Drosophila melanogaster: one gene and its partners. The protein of the gene in region 1 interacts with the protein of each later gene in a pairwise test. Each region holds a gene or a part of one and is shown on either strand. Other genes may lie near its edges. The genes, in order: Mabi, CG30427, MsR2 and CdGAPr.

Evidence for each region.
Region 2: the proteins of Mabi (region 1) and CG30427 interact in a two-hybrid assay, tested with the Drosophila melanogaster proteins (one large-scale study listed by BioGRID).
Region 3: the proteins of Mabi (region 1) and MsR2 interact in a two-hybrid assay, tested with the Drosophila melanogaster proteins (one large-scale study listed by BioGRID).
Region 4: the proteins of Mabi (region 1) and CdGAPr interact in a two-hybrid assay, tested with the Drosophila melanogaster proteins (one large-scale study listed by BioGRID).

Annotation. Positions count from the first base shown.
Region 1 is NT_033779.5:13,232,833-13,237,206, forward strand, and holds Mabi (mabiki), read right to left. Parts: upstream 1,829-4,374; 5' UTR 1,764-1,828; coding exon 1,143-1,763; 3' UTR 966-1,142; downstream 1-965. Other genes in the region: Prosalpha6T (proteasome alpha6 subunit, Testis-specific), read left to right, coding at 1-145; Jhbp14 (juvenile hormone binding protein 14), read left to right, coding at 3,803-3,908. UniProt on the Drosophila melanogaster protein: Plays a role in inducing apoptosis and is involved in the repair of head patterning defects in the embryo caused by extra maternal copies of the homeotic gene bicoid.
Region 2 is NT_033778.4:24,933,497-24,939,758, forward strand, and holds the start of CG30427 (uncharacterized protein), read right to left. Parts: upstream 3,982-6,262; 5' UTR 3,808-3,981; intron 2,840-3,807; exon of another isoform or gene 2,733-2,839; intron 1,340-2,732; 5' UTR 1,336-1,339; coding exon 1,056-1,335; intron 988-1,055; coding exon 562-987; intron 1-561. Other genes in the region: CG3760 (uncharacterized protein), read left to right, coding at 4,965-5,177, 5,264-5,346, 5,460-5,721, 5,775-6,032.
Region 3 is NT_037436.4:2,280,499-2,286,811, reverse strand, and holds the start of MsR2 (myosuppressin receptor 2), read right to left. Parts: upstream 3,930-6,313; 5' UTR 3,564-3,929; intron 1-3,563.
Region 4 is NT_033779.5:19,787,943-19,794,000, reverse strand, and holds the start of CdGAPr (Cd GTPase activating protein-related), read left to right. Parts: upstream 1-2,118; 5' UTR 2,119-2,237; intron 2,238-2,659; 5' UTR 2,660-2,731; intron 2,732-6,058. Other genes in the region: fs(2)ltoPP43 (female sterile (2) ltoPP43), read left to right, coding at 599-777, 843-1,099; CG10466 (uncharacterized protein), read right to left, coding at 1,252-1,491, 1,550-1,774. UniProt on the Drosophila melanogaster protein: Probably functions as a GTPase-activating protein (GAP) for RAC1 and/or CDC42. Required for optic stalk formation.

The DNA of each region.
Region 1 (4,374 bases):
GGAGGCGGACCACGATCCTCTATCCGAGGAGGGAATGAGCGATGATGACATGACGGACCACGGACCGAGTAGCAGTGGAGTTCCACCCAATGATACATCTGACATGGAAACCACTGCATCCACCGGCGGCAGTGACGCACATTGATCTAATCTGTGATTAGAAACCCTGACAGAGTATACTAAATTTATTGTTTCGTTAATAATGTTATTAAAGTTTATAGTTATTATGTTGTATGGCTGCTTCGTTTTTGTCAAAGAAAAAAACAAGAAACGGTTAGCAAGGAAATTGAATTCTGAATTAGTTTTAATAGCATGTATAGCATATATATTCATCTTATGGAACCTAATCGGATTAAAATAATGGAAACACTATAGCACTTGCCATTCCTATTAATACGTTGAAATTTTCCACAGGGATTAGGGGTTATGCAAATGAAAGCCTTTAGCGTGACCAATTCGATTACAATGTATTTGAAAATATCGTAGCTACTAATAGCTAAAGTGTTTAGTTTAACTTTAAGTGCGACAATGACAGCTGAGCGATGGACGGGAATAGGAGTAGTTATTATTTAAGCCCACATTCCCGTAGCTGCGGTTTCAATCGGTTTACGGCTCTATTGCCAGTGGTTTGACCAGGGTGCAGGGTTAATACCCAGTGAACTTTATCCGACTGGCTTGATATTCTCCATGGGGGGAGGCAATAGTCGATGGGGTCACCAATAACGATTTGCTCCAGGGGCTGATGATTGCCTGTGACACCACGCGAACTACCCCTGGGGATTAATTGGGATTTATTTCGATGGCTCCACGCTTTATTATATTTTATTAAATTTATTTATATATATTTTTAATATATTCATTGCTTCATTAGCGCTTGATTACTTTTTCTGCCAATGTCATAAATTAATATTTATACCATTTTTAGAAGGAAGATTAAAAGTCAAGCACACGATAAAAAATCAATTAGCCGTAAAAATTAAATCCTCATATTTTATTTATTAAGAAGTTCCTGCTTAACCTTTTAAGGCATTTATACTAAATATATACTAAATTTCTTAGCACTAAAAGTTCTTGAAGAAACTTAACAACTTAGCATTAATATAATAACTATATAATACAATCCTAAAAGGAGATGGACGTATCTAAGCATGCTCCTGTTTAATACCACCTATCAGGTAGTCGATGCTAAAGTTACTCTTGGTATTCTCCTCCGGAACTCTCCTTGAGGATACTAGCGGGTGGTCTTCCTGCTTGACCAGCTGCTTCAGATGATTCAAATAGACCCTGGCACGCAGACTCTGTTCGGCGATCTTGAGGTGCTCATCGGAGCACTCCTTGTACTGCTGTTCGATCTGCAGGTCATCGAACTTCTTCTTCCGTCGACTCATCCTGCAGGCAATTGTGTTCTTGTTGCGGCGCTCCTGATCCTTCGGTGAACGCTCCTTCTTCGGGAATTTTCGCACCATATTGACGTGGTACTTGAAGATGTCTTGGATGGCCTCGGTTATGATGGGGCTGGCGGATTGGTAGGAAACGCTTGAGGATGAGGATCCCAAACGACGACGCTTTGGCAGTGGAGGAAAGTCAGCATCCTGATCACTGAAACCCAAGCTGACGGACTGATTTGCCGCATCGAAAGGACTCCGACTGGTGCAGGGTGTGCCGCTCCGGGAGATTAGCTCTTCCTTCAGCTGCAAATCGCATTTCTCAATCTTTCGACCCATGTCGAACTTTTTGTGGCGATAGATCTGATGGTGCTCCATTGTATGGTATGATATGCTATGGTTATGCTATGTGTGTTCTACTCGAAGACTCTCGATTGAATGCTGTCCTGTGGATTGGTACACTAGCTTATATGGCGAAAGCCTTATCTGCCGCTCTTCGTAATCCCCCCACAACTTTTATAACTTTGTTTACACAAATCGACGACGAATTTTCTTTTTGCAAAACGAAAACAAGATCATAAACCCGCTCGATTTGCCTGCGCACGCGTACATGCCACCCAATCCCATACCCAAACCCAAACCCAAAACCCAACCCATCCCACTTACCTACTTGTAAGCCCACCCGTTGGGCATCCCTATCTACTGGTCATGTTTATTCTTGCGTGCGTTCAGCTGGGATCTTTTGAATTTCAGATACAATACAATCCGAGTTTTTCCGGATCAGTAGGTGGCGAAATGCGCGCCCATCGATTGTCTGGGTTCATTCAATTCGTGTTTGTTCCTCTTTCAAATCTATTATCTGCTGTGTTTTTCAATGTCGCCGCCTTTTGTAAAAGTCATATATATATATACATATATGGATTTTGGGCTACTCTTGTTCAATTGGCCTCTATTCGAAAAGTGTTTTGCGGCCTCATTTGTCCAACTCCCTTTGTATCCTGCTGTTGATAAGGTGTGTGTGGCACTGATCTTTTGTTTTCCGTTTGTTTCCCTTTTTTTAGATATCACTTCTTGGAACTCGGAGTGCCATTTCTGGGTTTGCAGTTTAATGCCGAAGATGACGATAAGATGACGTCTATTTGGGGTTGCAAAAGGGCACATTCCTGTAGACAGTCTGCGTCTGCTGATAACGTGCGTTTATCTCTTTTGTGCCAGGTCACTTGATAAATCGTTGTAAACTCAGCGCATCTTAAAACGATCCTAAAAAAAAAAGTATTCGAAAATTGGCCTGCGTAAAATAACCTACTTATTTGTTTGTTAAGAACTGAGGTTTTCCGAATTAGTATAAAGATTTGTTGTACGCGTATGACTCATTTCCAACCTTTTAAGCTTTGACAAAATCGACGTACGTTGCCTACTAGACACACGTGACTAAATAATCACTAATCAAGCACTTTAAAAATTGCCGTAAGGTGCAAAAAGCAGAATTAGCATTAGAGCTGTTAGCACGGCCACGCTTGACACCAATTGTTTGATTTATACTTTCATTACTACTTACTAGTAGAAACAGAAATAGGCAGTAAAAGGTTCTGCCTTTTCATTTTGAGGGTATACACAGATGTATATTTTACTAGGCCACAAAATTGCAGTAAGTTAAATAAAGCCTCAGTTAAATGCATTAGCATTAGCATGGAAGTACAGGAAGAATAGTTTCAAGCTCTAAAAATTGAAACAGTGATCTTAAGCCCAAGTCCCCGAGACATTTAATAAGGTGGTACGTTTTAATTAGCCGCCTGGGACCAAGATCTCCAGCACCATCTCCATCACCAAGTCGAGGAAGCATCCAAAGCGAGTCGGATCACTTGGGACAGCTGCCGGTAGTTGGTAGGCGGTTATGTGATGAGTATGTCGGGTCGCACTGGGGTCGCGATAAGTCAAATCGGATGGCTGGGTGGCTTCCACTTCACGACTTTACGGGGGAATTTAATAATGTCGTTTGTATTTCGCTACTGTCTACTGTCTACTGTCTATTGACTTTTGCATTTGCTTTGTTTTCTACAGCTGCGACGGCGATTAGTTTCAAGCTATTTTTGTTATCCACCCACCACCCACCGCCCACCGCTCCGCCCACAAATCCCTATTATTTGCTAATGCCGAGCATCTGTGTTTGTGCCTTTTTTTATTTTTTTTATTTTACGTTTGTCTTTGCAATTTCGATTTGATTGGATTTGTTTTGTTTTCTTCCCATAAATAAGAGCCCGCCACCCATCGCAGCTCTCAGACGTTGATTCGCATTTGCATCGGTCAGGTTGGGCTATCCAACGGATGTGGAATAACTTCACCTAACGAGGAAGTCAATTAAAAAAAACATCATTCAATCTAAACGTATCAAATTAAATATTAAACAATCTATCGAAATGGGTCGTATCTTTGGCGTAGTTGCTCTAATTCTGATGGCCGGCTTATGTTTGGCAGCGGAAATAGAATTGCCACCAGTTGAGTTCAAGCCGGTTCGAGAAATACGTGAGTGTCATTATACATATGTGAAAAATCAAACCCTATATTAAAATTAAGAAATAAGAACAACAGAAACAATTCTTGGGAAGTGCAAACTTAGTGCATTTAAACAAAATAAATGTTAAAGCAAAATAGAATATTAATACATTTATTCTAAAATCTTATTTTAAAAATACAATTTCTTTGGATACTGCAAAAATTGCGGAGATTGGCTTTGTCGTTTTTAATATTAATTTGATACGGCCATTTAAAATTAAAAGGTAATCTCTAAATTTCTATAAAAAATTTATAATTTCAAGCGTTGTTTCAAACAATTTTAAAAAGTACAAATTGTTAATGCGACACTTTAGTATACTCTGACGATAGCAAGTCGTTCAATTTGTGATATTATCAGTTAAATAGAAAATTCGAACATACAAAATTGACTTCGTGATAGCAATAATCATGTGAAGCACGCAACTTTGTGTGAATT
Region 2 (6,262 bases), on another chromosome or scaffold:
ATTTTCCTAACCTTATCTGGGCAGTATAAAAATAAAAGATTCGATTAAAGTATACTTTCATATCAAATTACCACTCGGCTTAGTGTTTGATTTTGGAGATTTGCATCAATATGGTCGGACTGGTTTCTGCCCAATAGTTTCTCCACCTCCCATGAATAACGCCCTCTCAGGTTGGCCAAAAACTGCTAATAGAAAACTTTAATTGACTGCCAGCGCAGACAGATCGTACATTCCAGGCAGAGACGTCCAACAAAGACGCCAGGTGGCCGAAAAAGATATAAATAATAAGCAAGCCAGGGCAACATAGACACAGACACAGACATAGACATAGACTTAAGGCGGCAGAAGCGGAGGCGCATTATTAGGTATTAGTTAGAGGGGAACTGGCGACTGGCAATTGCAGACTCAATTTCGCTTCCAGCGCAGCTGGCTACCAAGCAAGCAAGCAATCCCGTCCAGAGACATAGAGAATTAACGACTCTGATAAATCGATTCGCCGCAGGCCAAAGCGACGCGGATAGGCAACAGCGAGGTGGCATCCGTACTTAAAAGGTCACTTACCGATGCTGGGACGTGCGATGATGACGGGCATGGACTCGTAGTGGTCGCGCACCAGAAGCTCCGCCAGACGCTTTGAGTAGGTGTATGTGTTGGGGTGCGGCTTTAGCAAATCCGGCGTAATGGCGTCCAGGGTCTTCACGTCCATCCACTCGGCCAGGCGCATAAGATCCTCCGGCTTGTGTGGAAACTCGTACACCTTCTCATACATCACATCCTGGTCGCAGTTGCAAAAAGCCGTGGACAAGTGGATGAAGGCCTCCAGCTGCTTCATTTCCTTGGCCACGTTGAGCGCTCGCCGGGTGCCTAGCAAGTTCATATCGATGGCGTCCCGAAGGTTGCCCTCCAGCTTAAGGGTGGCCGCCATGTGGAAAACAATGTTAGTGTTCTCGGTCACGTGCTTCAAGCTCTCCCCGCTGAGCCCGAGCTCTACAAATGAAGGGCAGGAAATGCAAATCAATCGAGATTAAAGTGCGGAACTTAAGCGCTACACTTACGGTCGAAGGTGACGTCGCCCTGGTAGATGGTAACCCTCTTGAGCATCTCCGGGCGCTCGTCCTTGATGCGCTGGAAGATGGGCAGCTTGAACATCTCCTCGAGACGCGTCTCGGGTGCCTTGCCGCGCTTCGGGCGGCAGATGATGATCACCTCCTTGAGGGAGTGGCAGGAGTAGAGCAACTTCTCCAGCAGAACCTTGCCCATGAACCCAGACGCTCCAGTGATGAATATCGTCTTATCCTTATAGTATTCCTGCACTGGCGATAGATCCACCGTCATCTTTCTGCAAGAAAGAGGTGTATTAGCACACCTTCTGGGAATGGGAATGGAAATGGAGTGACGCAAGAAGCATTCCGGGAATGCGAAAACCAGTCAAAGGAAAAACTAGTGATTGGCAAGCGAATGGCGCAAGTGGTGCTGGAAAAACTGGGGCTAATTCTGGCCACGCGTGCCCCTCTTACCACATCTGGTGTTCGACTTGGAAGCAGCCAACACACAGCAGCAACCAGTGAGCTGAACCTGCCGCAAACGGGTTTCTAGTGGACTTTCGGTTTCTATTTGGATTTTCGATTGCGCCTGTGGATTCGCATTTCTTTGCTGGCTTATGCAATTACCAGGGGTAGCTGGCATCGAACCCGTCTAGCGTGCCAGGTTGTCTTTATATCTCCCCCTCCGACGGGGATTGTTGCAAGTATTTGTTTCTCAATCTGCATGCGGCTGGGTTGGATTGCAGCCGCGTTACAGTTGGCCACATCTGCTCGGCAATCTCGAATTGTGGATTGTGCCTGTGCCTTGCACTTTGGGCATGTCATGACATTTCACGCAAGACCGAGCGGACGTACTTGTTTACCTATTTATTGCAGCTCGATTGTGGTCACACCCCGCCCAAGCGTATGCATGTCCAATACTGTATCTCCGGCAACGAGTGTTTACCTCCTCCAGCAGAGCAAAGCTGGAAAAGATGGAAATCGCAGGAAGCATGACGCAGCAGCCCCACTGCACCTTGAACTACAAGCTGAAATCTATGTGGTTGGATCTGTTTCTGGGATCACTTCACTTAGATCACTGCGGTTCTCCTTCATCTCGCCTCGCGGCACCTGCCTTTAGGGGCTTGTTACTGAGCCCCAGTTTTCGGCTTTATGGCCAATTAAAACGCGTCCGCCGAATGTGTGAAACCAACGAGAGCCACAGCCCGAGAAACAACTTCAGAGTGCTTGCACTTATGCAAGCCTCGAAATACACACATTGAGACAAATTTCGGTCGACCCAAGTTGTCAAACCCGAAGTTATGAGCATTACAGACAAACGTATTTATTAAAACTGAACCTAAAACAACGGAGCTTCATTTTGTAAACGAAAGACTTAGGCCACAAACTTGATCCCAATTGGGGCGGACGAGCGAGAAAGAGACGAGTCAGAAAACAGTAACTAATGCAAAATACTGATAGACAACTAAAATAACATAACATATTTGTGATTTCTAATGAAAGAACAATGTGTGCATAGTTTTAACAACGGAGCATCACGAAGATAATGGAATTCAAGAAATTTGTTTGAGATTTTACCATCTATGTATTTTGTTCATAAGCATATTGATGTAGCGGAACGACTTGCAAAAATTACGTCGAAATCGATAAATTCAAATCCGAAATGTTTTTATACCATTTTAAACTTACCCTCCCCACAATTGGCAAGAGTGTTTTTAAGCTCTTTGATATTACGCAAACGCAAATTGACCCTATTTGAAACGTCGATAAACGATAAAGAGTCTTTTATCTTATGATATTTGTTTCTCTCCTTCGTTTGTCATATTTTTATTAGAGCCAAAACCGGTATATCGTATATCGCTTGTAAGTAGAAACATTTTGGAATCTTTAATTAGCTTGTATGTGGTTGTGTTTATCGATTGTGTGTTCCTCTTGTTTACATATTGCTGCTTTTTAGCCTAAGTAATATTGTGTGGTTACAACTCGATTGCGACCTCAGAACTGGCTACCGATGATGGGGCCATTAAAATTTTCCAATGCAAAGTGCAGCCTGCAATCGGTCTGCAGTTAATAAACCCATTGGAGCGCAGTGACTGATTGACTGACTGCGCTGTACCAATGACCCCTTTTCTAAGGCAACGTAAGCTCGAATACGGAGAAGAGCTGCGGATGTGGCTGTGTGGAGGATCATTAAGAAAGCCACTTGAGGCTGAGACATTAAACCATGAAATCGAACAAATTTTAAATGTTTGGCAATTCTTCCATTCCATTTCCCATTTGGCCTTTGCTCACGTAGTCTCACGATATATTTAAATAAAAATCCCCCTCAATATGTAAATGGCTTTTGTATTGGATCAGCATTGATACAAATGAGATGAAACCCCGACACATAAAATTAGCAGCAAGCCGCAAGCCGAGGTTCAAATATATGCAAAGGGCCACGGAACTCAAAGCGGAAAATGTGGAATATCGAAATATCAGACTTTGCGACAGGTCATGACACGACCCTGACATAGACGGGGGTTCACGAGCGTATCTCGAAATCAAACTCAGTAGGGCAGAGGGGCCTACCTTTGTAATCGTCAATTAAACGCTTCGCTGGGCTGGCAAATGCCTCGAATTGCAGCCTAATAGCCCCGAAAAATAAGCAGCATTGTCTTTACAATGCGGTAATCACAAGGAGGAATCGCAGCTCGAGATGAGGTCGGCGGAGTGCTAGATTGCAAGCCGAAACTATTTTGGGGCTACTAAGTGTTTCAATTACCTTGAGTATTGCTTGGTATTCTCCTCAATTAAAACACTTGCAATATTGGTATCAAACTCTCGCACACGCGAATTAATGCGAGACTATATCGGTTCGGAGCGTACTAGTTCGGATCGAATCGAGTAGTGGAGGGAGCGGTGTGGACGCTGCGAAGCTCGAAAGAAGACTGAACGCGACCAGCCCGGTGGTTGTCAATATGAATACGTTGTGGAGTGGACTAGCAGTGCTTTGGGATGTTGCAAACCATGCCGAAACGAAGCAAAACCACTGGCCTGGCTGCACGCCGTACTGTGGTAGGTATTCGGCAGGTGTTGGTACAGACATAAATATCTATTAGCTCGGCTAATCTAGGCGGAACTGGCCGTCTGGCCTAAGAGGCTTAGGCTGGGTCCAAGTGATGGGCCAAGTAGTTGACTTTTGACTACATGGGCGGGACTGCTGGGTACCACAAGATGCAAGTCCCAGGCCCAGGAACTCTTTGGCATATTTTGGGAAACATTAACTTTGCCATTTGGACGAGTTTTATTGACTTTGCTGCTTTTCAGCGAATAAGATATATTGGCATCATTATGGATGCAAAATTAGCAACGGATCGAATTGGTTTCCATTACACAATGGTCCAGCTTTGCATTCGCAGCCACCGCGGCGGTGGTTTCCACTTTGTTTGCCTTAATTAGGTGGTTATCAATCTCCTATGCAAATCTATTGTTGCCCAATGTCGCGAATATTGGTAATTAGTGCAGTCTTTCCTGTGATTTTTGCACACGCTAAATTATGCATGTTACCAATTTTGTTGCAAAAAAATAATATGTTTGTGTCTTCCAGTCCCAACTGATGGTTTCAAAAAGGCCGCCAAAGTTGAAAATATCGATATCATGCAGATGATATATGGATACTTGTCCTGCTAAGGTAGTGCTGTCAGAGTTGCTTAAACTGATTAGTTATAATAAACCATCAGTTAATTCCAGGTATGAAAAAAAGCGTGCATTATGTAAATTGCATAGTGAAATTAAATCGACAATTTGTAATCTCGCTGCGAATTTCCAGGAATCTCCAGCCCTGGCCGGCTTATCGATACATCTGGCACAAAAGGCGTGCAGAGTTGTTCTCCAAATTTCCTGTCGCGAATTTTATTCATTTATAATTAATTACAAGCCATGGCCGAACTGGACGATTTCTTCGCGAAAAAGGACAAGAAGAAGTCCAAGAACAAGACTAAGTTCGTGACCGCCGACGAGATGGTGAAGAACCTGGAGGACGGCACCAAGCGCGAGGTGGTCAAGCCCAAAAAACCTGAGGTAGCCGCTGGCGGCGTGGCAGTAGTAGGCGAAAACGAGAATAGCGGCACCAAGGTGCCAGAGTCCGCCCCGGTGAGTCCGAATCTCAGTCTGGTGAAATCAGCGCCCGTTGGCCACCTAGGGCATGTTTATAAGTTCATTGTTTTGCCGCTCCGTAGCCCGTCGAGGAGGAATGGAAGGAGTTCGAGGAGGAGCAGCGCAAGGACTACAGTGGCTTAAAGATCGGCCAGCTGAGCACCATGTGAGTTTTCGAACGTTACGCCGACCGCCTAATCCATGAGCAGGAGAAAAGGCCACTTCCATTGATTTACTTTCCATTTGACCCCGCATATTGCGAAAACTCGCTTTCTATAGCTCTTCGGCCCGTTCCAGAACTGCCCAGGAAAGTTCCGAGTCGCAAGCTGCTCGAGTGCCCTCTGCCCCGGACGGCGGCAACTACAATGAGGACGATGAGGACAGCAATGGGTATGACAACGCGGACGTAAACAAGGAGCGCGTCGGCCACGGACCCTGGAAGAAAGTTGTCCCAGCCGAGGAGGTAATGCAGATTCCGGTGCCCGTGGAGGTGGAAAAGCACTCGTCCAAGACCTACGTTTCACCCGCGCTACGATACAGCGTAAGTAAGAAGAGCGAGACGATCCAGATCGAGTTTAATCAACTTCTCTGCAGCAGCAGGCCGGAAGTGGACTGGGAGGCGGCCCTACTGGGGGGGCATTGCGTCCACGACGCGCCGCCCCCGACATCACCAATACCGAGTTTTTCCCAACCTTAAGTGCGGCGCGTCCGGAGGAACAGCGCAAGAAGAAAAACGAACCCGCCTTCGAAGAAGTCCGTCACGGAAGCCGTTTCCAGCGTGTTCAGGAGTCCACGGCTGCCCCGGTGGCGGCCTCCAACCGATTCCAGTCGCTTGACGACGAAGCAAGCTAGGTCAGCCCACGCCAACGGTGCTGTTGCTGGCCACTTGAACCGCTATCTACCACAGTGTCCGCTGCCGAGCTCAAGCCATCCAAAGGTTCTATGCCAGCACATGCAGATTTTCTAGGCTTTTTGATTCATATAAACCACCACTGCTACTCTTACCCTAAACCACAAACTACTATTGTTCATTTCGTTTTGCATTTTGAAAAATGGATTAATGTAATACAATACGAATAATA
Region 3 (6,313 bases), on another chromosome or scaffold:
TCAGACATTCACATCCACATCCACCCACCCGCAGCGATCCACGCTCCTTTTATAATCTTTTAAGGACTGCTGTCTGTCGCGTCTTTTGTCTATTTGCCGCTGCCATTGACTTTGTTTATTTTCACGAGCGTGTCGGTCCAAGTACCAATCCACATCCACGTCCAAGTCCAAGACCAAGTCCAAGTCCCTTGCCCCCAAAACAAAGCGCTTGAGCTTAAAGAGCCGACCAAAAATAGTTGTTTCTGTGCCAGGCGCCATCAGAATAATTGCATTCGATCTATCTTGTCGGCGGCTTTAAGCTTCTATGCTTCCATTCATTTGCTTGCATTCAGATGCTAAAGTTTATTTGCCAATTTCACAGCCACACATCCTTGCAACTGGCTGATAAGTTGCACAGTGATAAAAGGATATTACAGTACAGCAAACTTTGAATTACTCTTTATAAATGCAATCTGTATATGTCGTACTTTACACTTTAAAGTGCCTTAAATTCAATGCCAGTCATTGCCATTGTACAAAAACTGTAAATCACAGTAAAATCTGTAAATCTGTATTTTGGTAAGCTGTTGAGCACCTGAATGAAAGTCGACAGTAAGGACTTATCCACTAATGGTTCTTCCCTGTACTTTATCTACTGACGCTCGTAGTTTTCTCTTGTCTGGTGCTCATGCGATGCAACATCCTTTCCTTGTCAGATGCATTTAATTTAATTAAACAAGCTCCCCGAGGACCGAATAATTCACACCGACTTTTTGGTAGAACGCATCGGCATAAATAACATTTAAATGCAGTCATCATTTATGGCTGAGATTTGCAGCGCGCTGCGCTGACAGATGGCAAGATGATATGGCGCCTGATATGGCTTCCGCCCGACCATGCTGCGTATGCGTAATATTTGCCCAGATTTATGCAATGCTATTTTCCGACTGAGATAAAAGGCAAAAGCGCAGGGGAAGGAAGTGATATAAATACGAGATATGATTATGGACCGCTCATGCATGGCATATGCGAAAACTTTTGCGATTGCGATTATGATGGGGGCCTCTGGTTTTGACCTTGCATATATGTAGATACATATACATATACATACATACATATATGTAGAAGTATATACCCCGTCCAGCCCCGATTCTCTAGGCTCGGCGCTTGCCATGTGAATTATTGATCCATTCGAGGGTCTTCCAACATTTTCCTATTTTCTTTGGCATCACGTGCCTAGATAGCTGATGAATGGCCCGCATTCGGTCGTCTTATTTTTATCGGACTTCGGCAGAAATGCGACTCCCCAAAGAAATGAGCATAAATCTTTGGATCCGCTCTCATTTGAATTCAGTTATTTTTGCTCACAAACGAACCTAATGGGCGGACCGAAACTTTTGCAGGGCTTAAACTTTTAAACAGGCTGTAAAGTGTCCCCACTTCCTTCATAAAAAGAGCTAACAATTTGTGGCAGACACACATGCGGCTCAACTTTCCGACCTTGACGTCGCTTATTTGGCTTAAACAATGGAAATTATTATCCAACGATAATGGGAATTATGATTTTACGCTCTGGCGCCTGGGACTTAAAAGTCCGTGGACCATGTGGCGTATGCGTAATGCAGTAAAGCTAAATGACACTTACGTGCTGTAGGACAATTAAGGCAACTTGTTACCTTAATTTTTAATAATTTCCACTTACTTATAGTGTAGTATAATGTTTCTTAAGCAACATGCGAATGCTGGAGTCAGACAAACGAGTCCAAGAACATTAAGATACGATGTAATCCAGAACTTATTAATTGAAGGCCCGACAAACTAAATGTTTCTGCATTCTTTTGTGAGCTAAACTCCGGCAATTAATTTAAATGATACTCAAAACCAAGAACCCGCCGACTACGCAACCAAAGTTTGCCTTAACCGAAAGCCGCAGGCAATTGACTCGGCTTGGGTTTGATCCAGTGGCACGTGCTCCGTCTTGAGCCATCGTCCTGGCCTGGCCAAAACCGAACCACAATGGACAATTACTGTCTCATCTGGGCTGAGACACCGAATCCCGAACTCTGGCAGTGGCAGCTGGCATCCAAATTAATTAGCTGCCCAACTTAACCGAGACCGAAAAGTTCAGGTCTTCGCACAATGGACTCGATGGGATTTGGATTTGGAAAGAGTTTGGGATTGGGATCGAGATCAGGATTGAAGTGCATGGCAGCGACTCTTGACACTGGCGTTCCATGATGGGTATGCCAACTATTTGGTGCCGCAATTTACGGCCTTCTGCTTCGGCTAAATGTGTCAACAATTCGACTGGCAATTAAAGCCAGCGGGCAAGTGCATAAATTAGTTGGCATTATGGCCTCTCGACAGCTGCGAGAATTCCGCTGTCGCACATGCGACTAATTGCTTCGAGCTGTTAACCCTCTGCATGTCCATAAATTGAAAGTTTTATGCATTGTGTGTCCTATTGAGATGACTGGATGTTTTCGAAAGGTTTGCGCAGCCATTTCCTTGCGGGAAATTAGAAAACTTTGCGCTATCTGGACTGTTTGGTGATTTTTTGCTTGCTACTTTGCGACTGTGCAAATATTTTCGCAAGCCAACCTTTTGTCCATTGTTTGCCAGTGCCCCCCTTCTACTCTAGTTGACTTTTATTTATTGTGGCCATAAAAAAGCAGCAGGCATTGCGCAAAGTTGAAAGAAGCCCAAAAGGAATCTAGCACGAAATGCCAACAATTTTTGTATACATTTGTTTGAGGTTTACTTTAGGTTTGTTTCCCTCCACGGTTACTTGACTTTACCCATATTTTTCTTCGAAATTCAAATTTCATGCTCACAACACTTTTTACGACTTTCCCGCATTTGTACAAACAATGTTTGTTGTCCCATTCCCATTTCCGTTTTATTTGTTTATTTGTTCATTGACAAGATGCGAGCATCACATTTATTTAATGTTCGTTCGGCATGAGCCTTTGCAGGTTTTCCATCGGTTTTTCCAAAGTACTCCCCAGTTGCCAGTTGAGTCTGGCCCTTGGATTGCACTTTTGCGGACGCATTGATCATAAAAAGCCTTTAATATATTTCTTGCCGAAATAGAGCAGTAAAGTTCCCCGAAAGTGCAGATAGGTGGAAAGAAAGTTGTAAGAAAAATGTGTCATTTTGGTTGCATGTTGCAAAGTCCACATGCCTTCAATTAATTTCTTAAGTTTTCTACGATGGGAAGGGGTACGAATAATTTCGGAAATAGTTTTTATTGTGCGGAAAATATATAGAATCCGACATGAAATTTGAAATCAAAAAGTTGTTGCTTACAGAACAGAATTAAATTAAAAACAAAAGTTTCTATAATTCATAGCACCAAGTTCATAATTATATTTACCATATTCTGAATACCTTTGGGTTCTTTTTCAAGCAAAAATTCCTTTAATTAGGGCTTCAAAAGAGTTTACTAAACGATACAAATATCTGTTTAGCTGCAGGTTCACTTTACTCATTTAAAACGAATTTAGATTTCTATTAAGCATCCTTTCTTAATCATTTGGCCAGAATTTTCTTTGTTCTTCGTAACTTATAACTGGGCTACCTACATCAATCACTGGTACACACCACAATTTTCTGGGAATACAATTTTCAGGACATTAGGCACAGTGTCCCCATGGATGTTGTGGCCATTATGCTAATCAGATAAACCTTTTTTCGGCCATAAATGAAATATAAGTTGGGCGAAATGATACCAAATGCCAATAAACTGACCAAAAGTTCACTGACCAGCCGATGAAAATTCGTGACGGCAACTTACACAAATCGCAAAACTTATATTACGAAAAATTCAATTCAACGCGCTAAACCGAAAATAACAATTATTGCGATTTTTCATCTTATCGGCACATTTTCGACGTTTTCGAATTATATTTTCAGCCGGGAAAACTCCGAGACACGTGCGTACGGCACCGCAATGAAAAACCAACTGAAAAACTGCGAAAAACTCGAGCGGCAGCTGCTCGCTATTTTCTCCGAGCTCTCAGGAAATCGACGGTCGGCTTTTCCTGCGCGCCTGTCGAAAGTGTTGCCAGCTTTCTGGCGTCGACGCCGGCAGCGACAGCGTTGAATCAGCTGTTCGGAAAAGCCAGCGAAAGCCAGGGGAAAACGAGTTCCACCAGAAGCAACTGGTGTAGCTGGGCGGAAAACAGCTTCCACTTGCCATCCACAGACGGCAACAGCTGGACGACTTGTTGAAGTTGCAGAGTCTGTGCAAAACAGAGAACCGGAAAAACGAGTTTCCTTGAAAACAGAGAGAGAGAGAGAGAGTGTAAAATGTTTTCTTCTTTCCTTTGCAGAAGTTTGGCTTTTCCGTTTGCTTTTGCTGCTTTTGCAGTGGATCCCATTCGATTTGTTTTTATGAATGAAACGGTTTTCTATCGACTTTCAGCGCGCCAAAAATAAATTTAGCCAAAACCTTTTTGCTGGTCAAATTTATGGAGCTTCAGCCAGTCCATATGGCAGTTAACCCTTTTTTCGGACCCCTCGGCGTATGGGTAATAAATCATCAAATGAAATGATAAACTGCGACGACCACCTTCCCAACCCCTCGAATTTTCCCAGTTTTCCCAACTACAACGGCTTTTTAATAGAACCTGCTGCGAATGTGTTTAAAATCCCCTTCGAGTGCTCGTAAAACGTTCGTTTATCTTATTTCGGCTGGTATTTATTTACTTTTTATTCTATCTGGCGCATTTCCCAACTGCTTCATGTTAGATTTATGTGCGGATCTATTTGGCGAAATTTATGTTTGCATTTCAATTTACTTCCTCCATCTTACTCACTGTATTTTATTTTAAAGCATATGTTGATTAACGTCAGCAGTTTATGACATGGTTCTTCTAGAATTTCTGTGGGTTTTATCCAAACAGAATTGATTGTAAAAACAAGCCATGTGAGAAGTAATCACAGATTCTGATTTAAAACTTATTTTTTTCGCTTTTAGCTACAACTAAGTTCACTTCTTTAAAGAAGATATTAGGATGTATATTGAGAGAGAGTTTAAGTTTAAAATTTAAATCGCGCTTTCGTTTATATATTCCTGCCACGTTGGGTTTCAGTTTGAAAAGATTTCTGATTGACAAGCCCCCGAAGGCAGCATTAACTTTCCCAAAAAAAAAAGAAAACACAGATTTCCCTTTTCCAAATCATTCTTCAATTTATGTCACATTTCGCTCACGACTCCGACGTTTCCAGCCCAGGACTCACACGTCTCTTTTCCCGGGCCAAAAAAGTGGGCCAAAGGCGAGGATCTCAATTATTAGGGCCTAAGTGCCGTTAAAACCAAATCAATAATTTTCCTTTTTCCCATCTTGCATGGCCGGAGGAATGCGAAACGATGACAATGTGGAATGCCTGCACGGGGCGGGGATCCATTAGATATGCGAGTTCCCGCCCAGATCCTGCTCCTCCATCCTTAACCTTCTCCTGGTGCCCACATGCCCGCACATCCATGAATTTCCAAATGACATTCAATAAGCGTTCGATGTTCAATGTTCAATTATTTTTCAATTGCATCGATTTGCCGTCAAACCACAAAAGAACTTCGATTATCCTTCGGCCGAAAATGATAAATGTGTACAGGAAATAATAAATAGTTAAATAATCTTAAATATGATACCAAAATGTTAATATTGAAAAATATTTATTTAAATGAGTAAATGAAAAATGTCACATAATTCAAATTATATTTTATATTTATTAGTGCTATGAGTTATAAAACATAACTTTTCATAGCGAAACATCTACAATTCAATTATTTAAACAGGCTTAAATTAATAACAAACTATATAAGTATGCTTGAAAAACCCATAAGAAAATTCCCGTTTTTCCGCCTGAGCATGATTCTGCCATTGTTGTTGATTTTCCTGCCAGCACGTGACCCCTTGAAAATAAGCCTGGTCGGAAGTCGTTTGGCACCCATTTTTTGCCCACGCTTTGGCCATTTCCCATTACCCACTTCCCACTCCCCGCCCCCCGCCATACACACCGGGGGCGTGTCTCTAAACCAGTTAGCTACTTTGCATTAACGCTCGCCTCGGGAGCAGCGTTGAGTGGCCCAACTATATCCAATAGAATCCTATAGCACTCAAACGCCGCCCGTCCAGTCCGCTGTCTCTCCATCCAGATTCACATGAAGATGGTGATGGAGATGGATGCGGAGACAGAGATGGAGATGGAGATGCGTTGACGTGTTAGTGGAGCGAGGCTCGGGGAAATTCGTGGAAAATGGGTGAACAGGATGTGCTGACTTGACAGGGACATAGCCCGAAAAGCTTCCGCTGCTATGGCAGCCCAA
Region 4 (6,058 bases), 6.6 Mb from region 1:
CGTTCAATTCTAACACAACTATGTTATGCCATATTCCATTTAAAAAATATGTTAGATCTAAACTTCTTAGTTTAAATAATGTATCATAGTTATGTAAAGTTCCCATAAAGTTCCCTCTTGCCAAAGTTTTTAATAAAAATAAGATGTATCCTGCTAAAAACGCACAATTAGTGTACTATTTGGAATCGTTTTAGGCAAATGTCTCTCATTACCTTATGTTCATAGAATTAATTAGCTATTAGATTAGAATAATTTACCCCCACACACGAACACACACACACCGCATTTTTTTGAAAAACAGCTCACCGAGCATTTTTCGTTTAGTTTCCGCCAGTTGTCAGTTGCCTTTTTGGTTCTTTTTCCATTCCGACAATAAACAAAAAAAAACGGATAACACTAGTGCTGAAGTCTAATTAAGTGCATAGTCTTAGTTTGTTTTGCTTTATATCTGTTGGGGCCTAGCGTTGCCCGAAATCGAATATAAACTAAATAAAGAAACTCTCAAAATACGTGACAAACTTTGTTGTGTTTCAATTTAAAAATGCTGCGTGATCAAAGAATCGAAATAAACTCACTAATTGTTTCGCCTATTCTGCAGTGTGATTCCTGTGGGCGAGATTGTCCTAGAAGATTGCTACAACGACCAGGACGAGGACTACGACTCGGAGGACTCGAACCAGGAGAACTACTTTACCAATGATTACCCGGACGACGACGAAGCGGGCGCCATGGGTTCGGATGATGAGTTGTGCCGGCAAATGAACAAGTTTATGCTCGGTAAGATCTGTGTTAACTGTTTGCATAGATTCCGCTTATGAATATGCATATGCTTCTTCTTCCAGATGATGACGAGGATGAGTTTGCCAGCACCAGCGATGATGATGACTATGCCACCTTTCGCGATCCCTACGTGCACACGATCGACACTGAGGAAGACTCGTTTGTGGACGACGTGGACTTTTACAATGTCGACCGGGAGAGGGGCAGCGCCTATGAGCGCTACAAGCGAAGGATTCTGAAGGAACTGGAGGGTCAGGAAGAAGAGGATGAGGATGATGATGATGATGACGACTCCTTTGCGAGCGCTGATGGCGAATGAGAGGTTGGAAAGCCAATTCATTCTTGCACCTTAAATTACTGGCTTTAAAAAAGAATGTAGTAGTATAATTTAGCGTTTAATAACTAAAAAATTTAAGTTAATATAAAAATTCTGTTTGCATGCTTTGCTATGTTTAAGCTAACCTTATCTTATCATCTATAATTTTTGCTGTCTTTCTTCTCAGTCTTGATGTGCTGAAGTTGAGGTTTCGGCGCACAGCCCTCCATGTAAAGGCGAAGGGTTTCCTCGTCCATCTTCTCGTTTTCCTTGGGAGGCTTGTAGTCGGCCACGTGATCGACCCTTAGTGTCCTATCGAGGATCTTGATGCCATTCAGGTTGTCCACGGCCAGCACTGTGGATCTCTGGTCCTCGTAGCACAGGAAGCAGAAGCCCTGGACAAGTTTAAACAATGATTTCAGGAACTTTCTTGAAAGGGTAACTAAGCATTACCTTGGACTTTCCCGTTTTTGAATCTCGAATTAGATTGATGTTGACCACTTCGCCGTACTGCGAGAATACGCAAACCAAGTCGCCCTCAGTTAGGGTATACGGAAATCCTGCGACGAAAATCCAGGCTGAGTCCTTGTACATGTCGTGCCAGCTCTTCTTTCCGCCATGTTGCAGTTCGTGTTCGCTCAGTTTGAGCACATTTTTCATATTTGTTAGCGGATTCATCTTCAAATCGTTTTATTTGTTTATGTTTTTGTGGCGATGTGACTGCTTGCTGTTAGGTAGAAAATACCATCGGTCTGTTTTGAACTGTATTAACATAGCAAGCAAGCAGTGTAGGTAGTATTTCAGGCAATATATCGATAATTGGATACTTTCTTTAACTCATAGAGTTTCCTAAAACTAAAAGGCTAATATAATTAATATGTAGCATACTTATTTAATTTCCAACTAATTTAAATACCAAAGTAGTTTTTAATTGCTAGGTATTTGTATTTGGTATTTCTTGTATGTGCAGTGGTATTAAATAGTGCGTTATAATAAGGCCGGTGGTATTTTAATCGTTATCGTCACATTTGTTGTCGCGTTGTAAAAGGCTGCGGATCGGAAGCCAGTTAATTGTGCACTGGGACGGACAGTGAGAAATGTTGTAATATTGCCATTGCCACGGTGATCTATTCGAGAAAAGGTGTGTACGAATGCGAAAATTGGGCTTACACACCCGCCGTCTGCTAGCGTACGTGTGTGTGTGTGCGGTATGCCCTTGCGTGTGCGTGTGTCTGCATGCTCGTGTGCGTGCCAAAGGAAAAAGATATGCTGAAAAGTATCTCCTCTCTATTTAAAAATGTGTGTCAGTGTATTGTGCGGCAGCAACGAAAATAATAAATAATAGCTGCCGCGACTGCGACTGCTGATTGGTGAGGGAGAGGAAGAGATGAAAACATAAACGAATAACCGTTTGGCGTCTTTGAGGTCTTTTAATTGTGCCAAAGCCATTGTTTTACCATTTTCCCATCATCGTTCGAGACGCGTTCTGTGCCGAATAACAGCGAATAACGCCCCGTCTTTTCTGTTATTTTTTTTCGCTCTCCCATATTATTTTTTGCGAAGGAAGCTGAGTGTGTGTTTCCCTCTCTGTCTCGCGCACGTAACTATGCCTGCGCCTTGCTATTGGAACAGTTGGTATGTAAAAGACATAAGTGCGATATGTCCGTTTCACACTAGACTTTGTCACCCTGTGGCAGCCACACTCACACACACACTCTCACCTGGGACAACTCCACCATATGTCCATTCGTCTGTGTGTCTGTCTGTCTGTCTGTCTGCTGCTGCTTTTCCTTAACACATTCACACTCACATGCACATTCCACCCCATTGGCAATGCCTCTCTTTCGTACAGCTGCAGTCAAAATAATAGTAATGGGCCTCCGGTATCTGCCGTCTTTATGGAGTCCTTGGTAAGCGAGGAAGAGGAAGAGCGGACAAAAGCATTCCTCCAAAGCTGCCGTCTTTTGTCCTGCAACTTCAACCCCAAAAACCCAGATAAGGAAACGTGCATTTTGAAACCCTATAACTATAAATAGAGTTCCTCACTTGACCGTGACTAGAACTTGGTTTATGTTGTTCACTTTGAAACTTTTGTATTTCTTATATGCTCCTATTCTGGAATTTAATAGTAATAGCTATAGAGCAACTCATGCCAGCTGCTGTCATTTGACTCATCGCAATCAACCCTTTGGGATAACTACATTCCTTAACCTTTTGTTTTCAATCCTCGGGTATTACGCACAGCAAGACTTAAATTGTGAGAAACACTAAACGCTAATTAAGTCACATAAAGTGTAGTTTACAAGCCATTGACCTAAAACCTAAGATTACACATGATCTTAAAAAAATCTCAACACGACTTTAAAGAGTTGACCCCCGCTGTATGGTCGCTTGTGTCTCTTTGTTTTTGTCCACGCCGAAAGGAGGAAACATGTACTTCCATCGCTGGTTTTTAATGTTTAGGTGTGGTCGTGCTTTACTTGCGGGCTTACACACATCCAGTTGTGTGTGTTTCTTCAAGCGGAAGCGCTCGTAAAAAAGTTTTCGTGGCGCTGCCCACACAGTTGACATTGAACTCGCTCCGTCCGGCTGCTCCTGCTTCTCCAGCTCCTCGTGCCCCAAAACCAACCTACCCCACCCACTCTGCCAAGCAACTGATACTTTTGGTCCGCTCTGTTACTTTCCCAAAAAGCCAACTCCTGGCCTTTCACTTGCTTTCCTTCATACCCTTCTGCGAGTAAAGCCAAGAGTTTTGTGAAAGGAGCGAAGTGTGCGATTAACGAAAAGGTGTTAAGGAGGCGGAAAAATCAATTAACAAATACTATTTGGCGTAGACTGATTGTTAATTGATAGGTGGTACTTCATTTCACTTTTCTACTCTACTGAGCTGCAGTGTGTAAACTTTAGTTGCGTTCGTAGAGACCCTGAATTATAGTTGATTTATGTTCTTCATAGTTCTATAATGAATATAATTAAAGCTGTCTAAATATTATCTGAACTATCTTCATATGTACCTTCCTAGTTCTCGTTCATTCCCAATGGGTATTTATGCGAAGTGATGTGTGATGTGGAAAATGGCTTAAAAAGAGAACCCATTGCCTATCCCTCCGCATCAGCAAACTTCTCCCCACTGTTCTATGAGAACATTTTGGGCGCATGTTGACTCATTTTGGCCGTTAAATGCGGGGGCTGGGTGCGGGCAGCTTTCTCGCTATTATTACGAGATACGTACAGATATGTGCTACTATACTTTATGTACATATGTACACTCGTGTGGGGCTCCTACTGCGGTTATTATGTGGCTCACGTCTCTGGGAAAGATTCGCGCCGCGACTGCGCACGATTATGGCACATTTCGAGTGACGAGAGCAAAGTTGACTGCGCTGCGGCCGCCTGTTGCAGAAACGTGTCAAGTTGGCCAGATACATCTACTCTACGTCTATATACACGAACATACATACATATATATGTATTATATACAGGGGTACTATATGTGCAGCAGCATAACCAAGCGAGCAAGCTGCTTCCCCGCCAGCTCCCGATTTCGAGTTCGATTAATTTCGTTGCGCCTCGGTAGCTGTGCACTCAACTCAAACATCCGCTCAAACGGACGGCTAGCTCACACCGCTTCCAATGGGGAACGTTTACCTCGCCGGCGACCAGCTCATTACACCACTGCCCACAGATGCGGCAGATTCCCATACCCAATCCCGCCAGCAAAACCCTTTCCCATCCGGGAAGGGAGTACCCTTCAACCGGGTGACACCAAACATCTGGGCGTACTGGGGGGCTACACTGGGCTGCAACGCCTTGGTTCCTGGACTACTTACTTTTGCACTAGTACCACAGAAGGAATTTCGCATTCCCCTCTTCAGGCAGCGTAGGGATAAGAATTACACTGGCTTGCACAGTATTGCTACCGAGAACTAACTAACATTTGGAGTTCGGTCCAGTTCATGCAAGACTTTTCATACCTATGGATTACTAATAGTACTAAATTGCAGCCGTTATCACTGATTACTGATTACCAACCACTGTTTTGCTGGCCAATGTAAACAGTCTACAATAGCAGGCACAAAAAAAACATTGCAGCGAAACTGCCAACAGAAAATTCGCTGTTCTACACATTTCGCCCTGTGTCTTATTGCTGTTTACACCTGTTCGAGCCGACGCCGTCGCGTTTTATATTCGCATTTTGTTTTTGTTTACATTCATGTAAAGAATTCTTCATAAACGCTCCATATTTGGCGACTGACATGCCCCCAGCCTCGCCAACTATCTCGTGGTTATTGAAGTGCAAGCAGGGGGAAATGCCGAACCCACACGGCGTATAAGAATTTTTGGGTTGGCGGCTCTTGCGGCTGTTGTTGTGATGGCCGCTGATGTTGTGTTTCATATGCGTATCAAATAATTGAGCTCAATTGATTTCAATTAAAACTGACAAGTCGCTGGGGGCTTTGTTGTTGTTGCTGCTGCTGTTATGGTTGTTAGTGCCAAGTCATATGAAACAAAAACCATCAAAATGCCTCAAAAGTAGTGCCCTCTGTTTGCCCGATGAGCTGCGTCGAATGTGAAATGCGCTAAGAATTCGTTCTATTCAATACGTTTGAAAGAAGAGTTACATTATAGGAAATCATAGCCCAAGAGTGTCGAAGGCAAATAAATATAGATGCTCTATCTTTTATTGACATTTACTGTGCATATATTGAGTTCGATGATTTCATAGTTTAAATATAGATTACGAAATGTGTTCAATAACCGATTCCTCAGTTTAATTTGCATGATCTCCGATCACTGGAAACATGAATGCTGTAAATGATTTACCTTAGTTTTTGATAAGTTTTTAAGTTTTTTAAGCATTTAATCCAAGCCTCAGATAAGAAGAAAGTCCCCTTTCGTTCTGACTCATCATCAGTGAGACAGAATAATTTTTATCAACCTATAATTCATCCATGAATCACC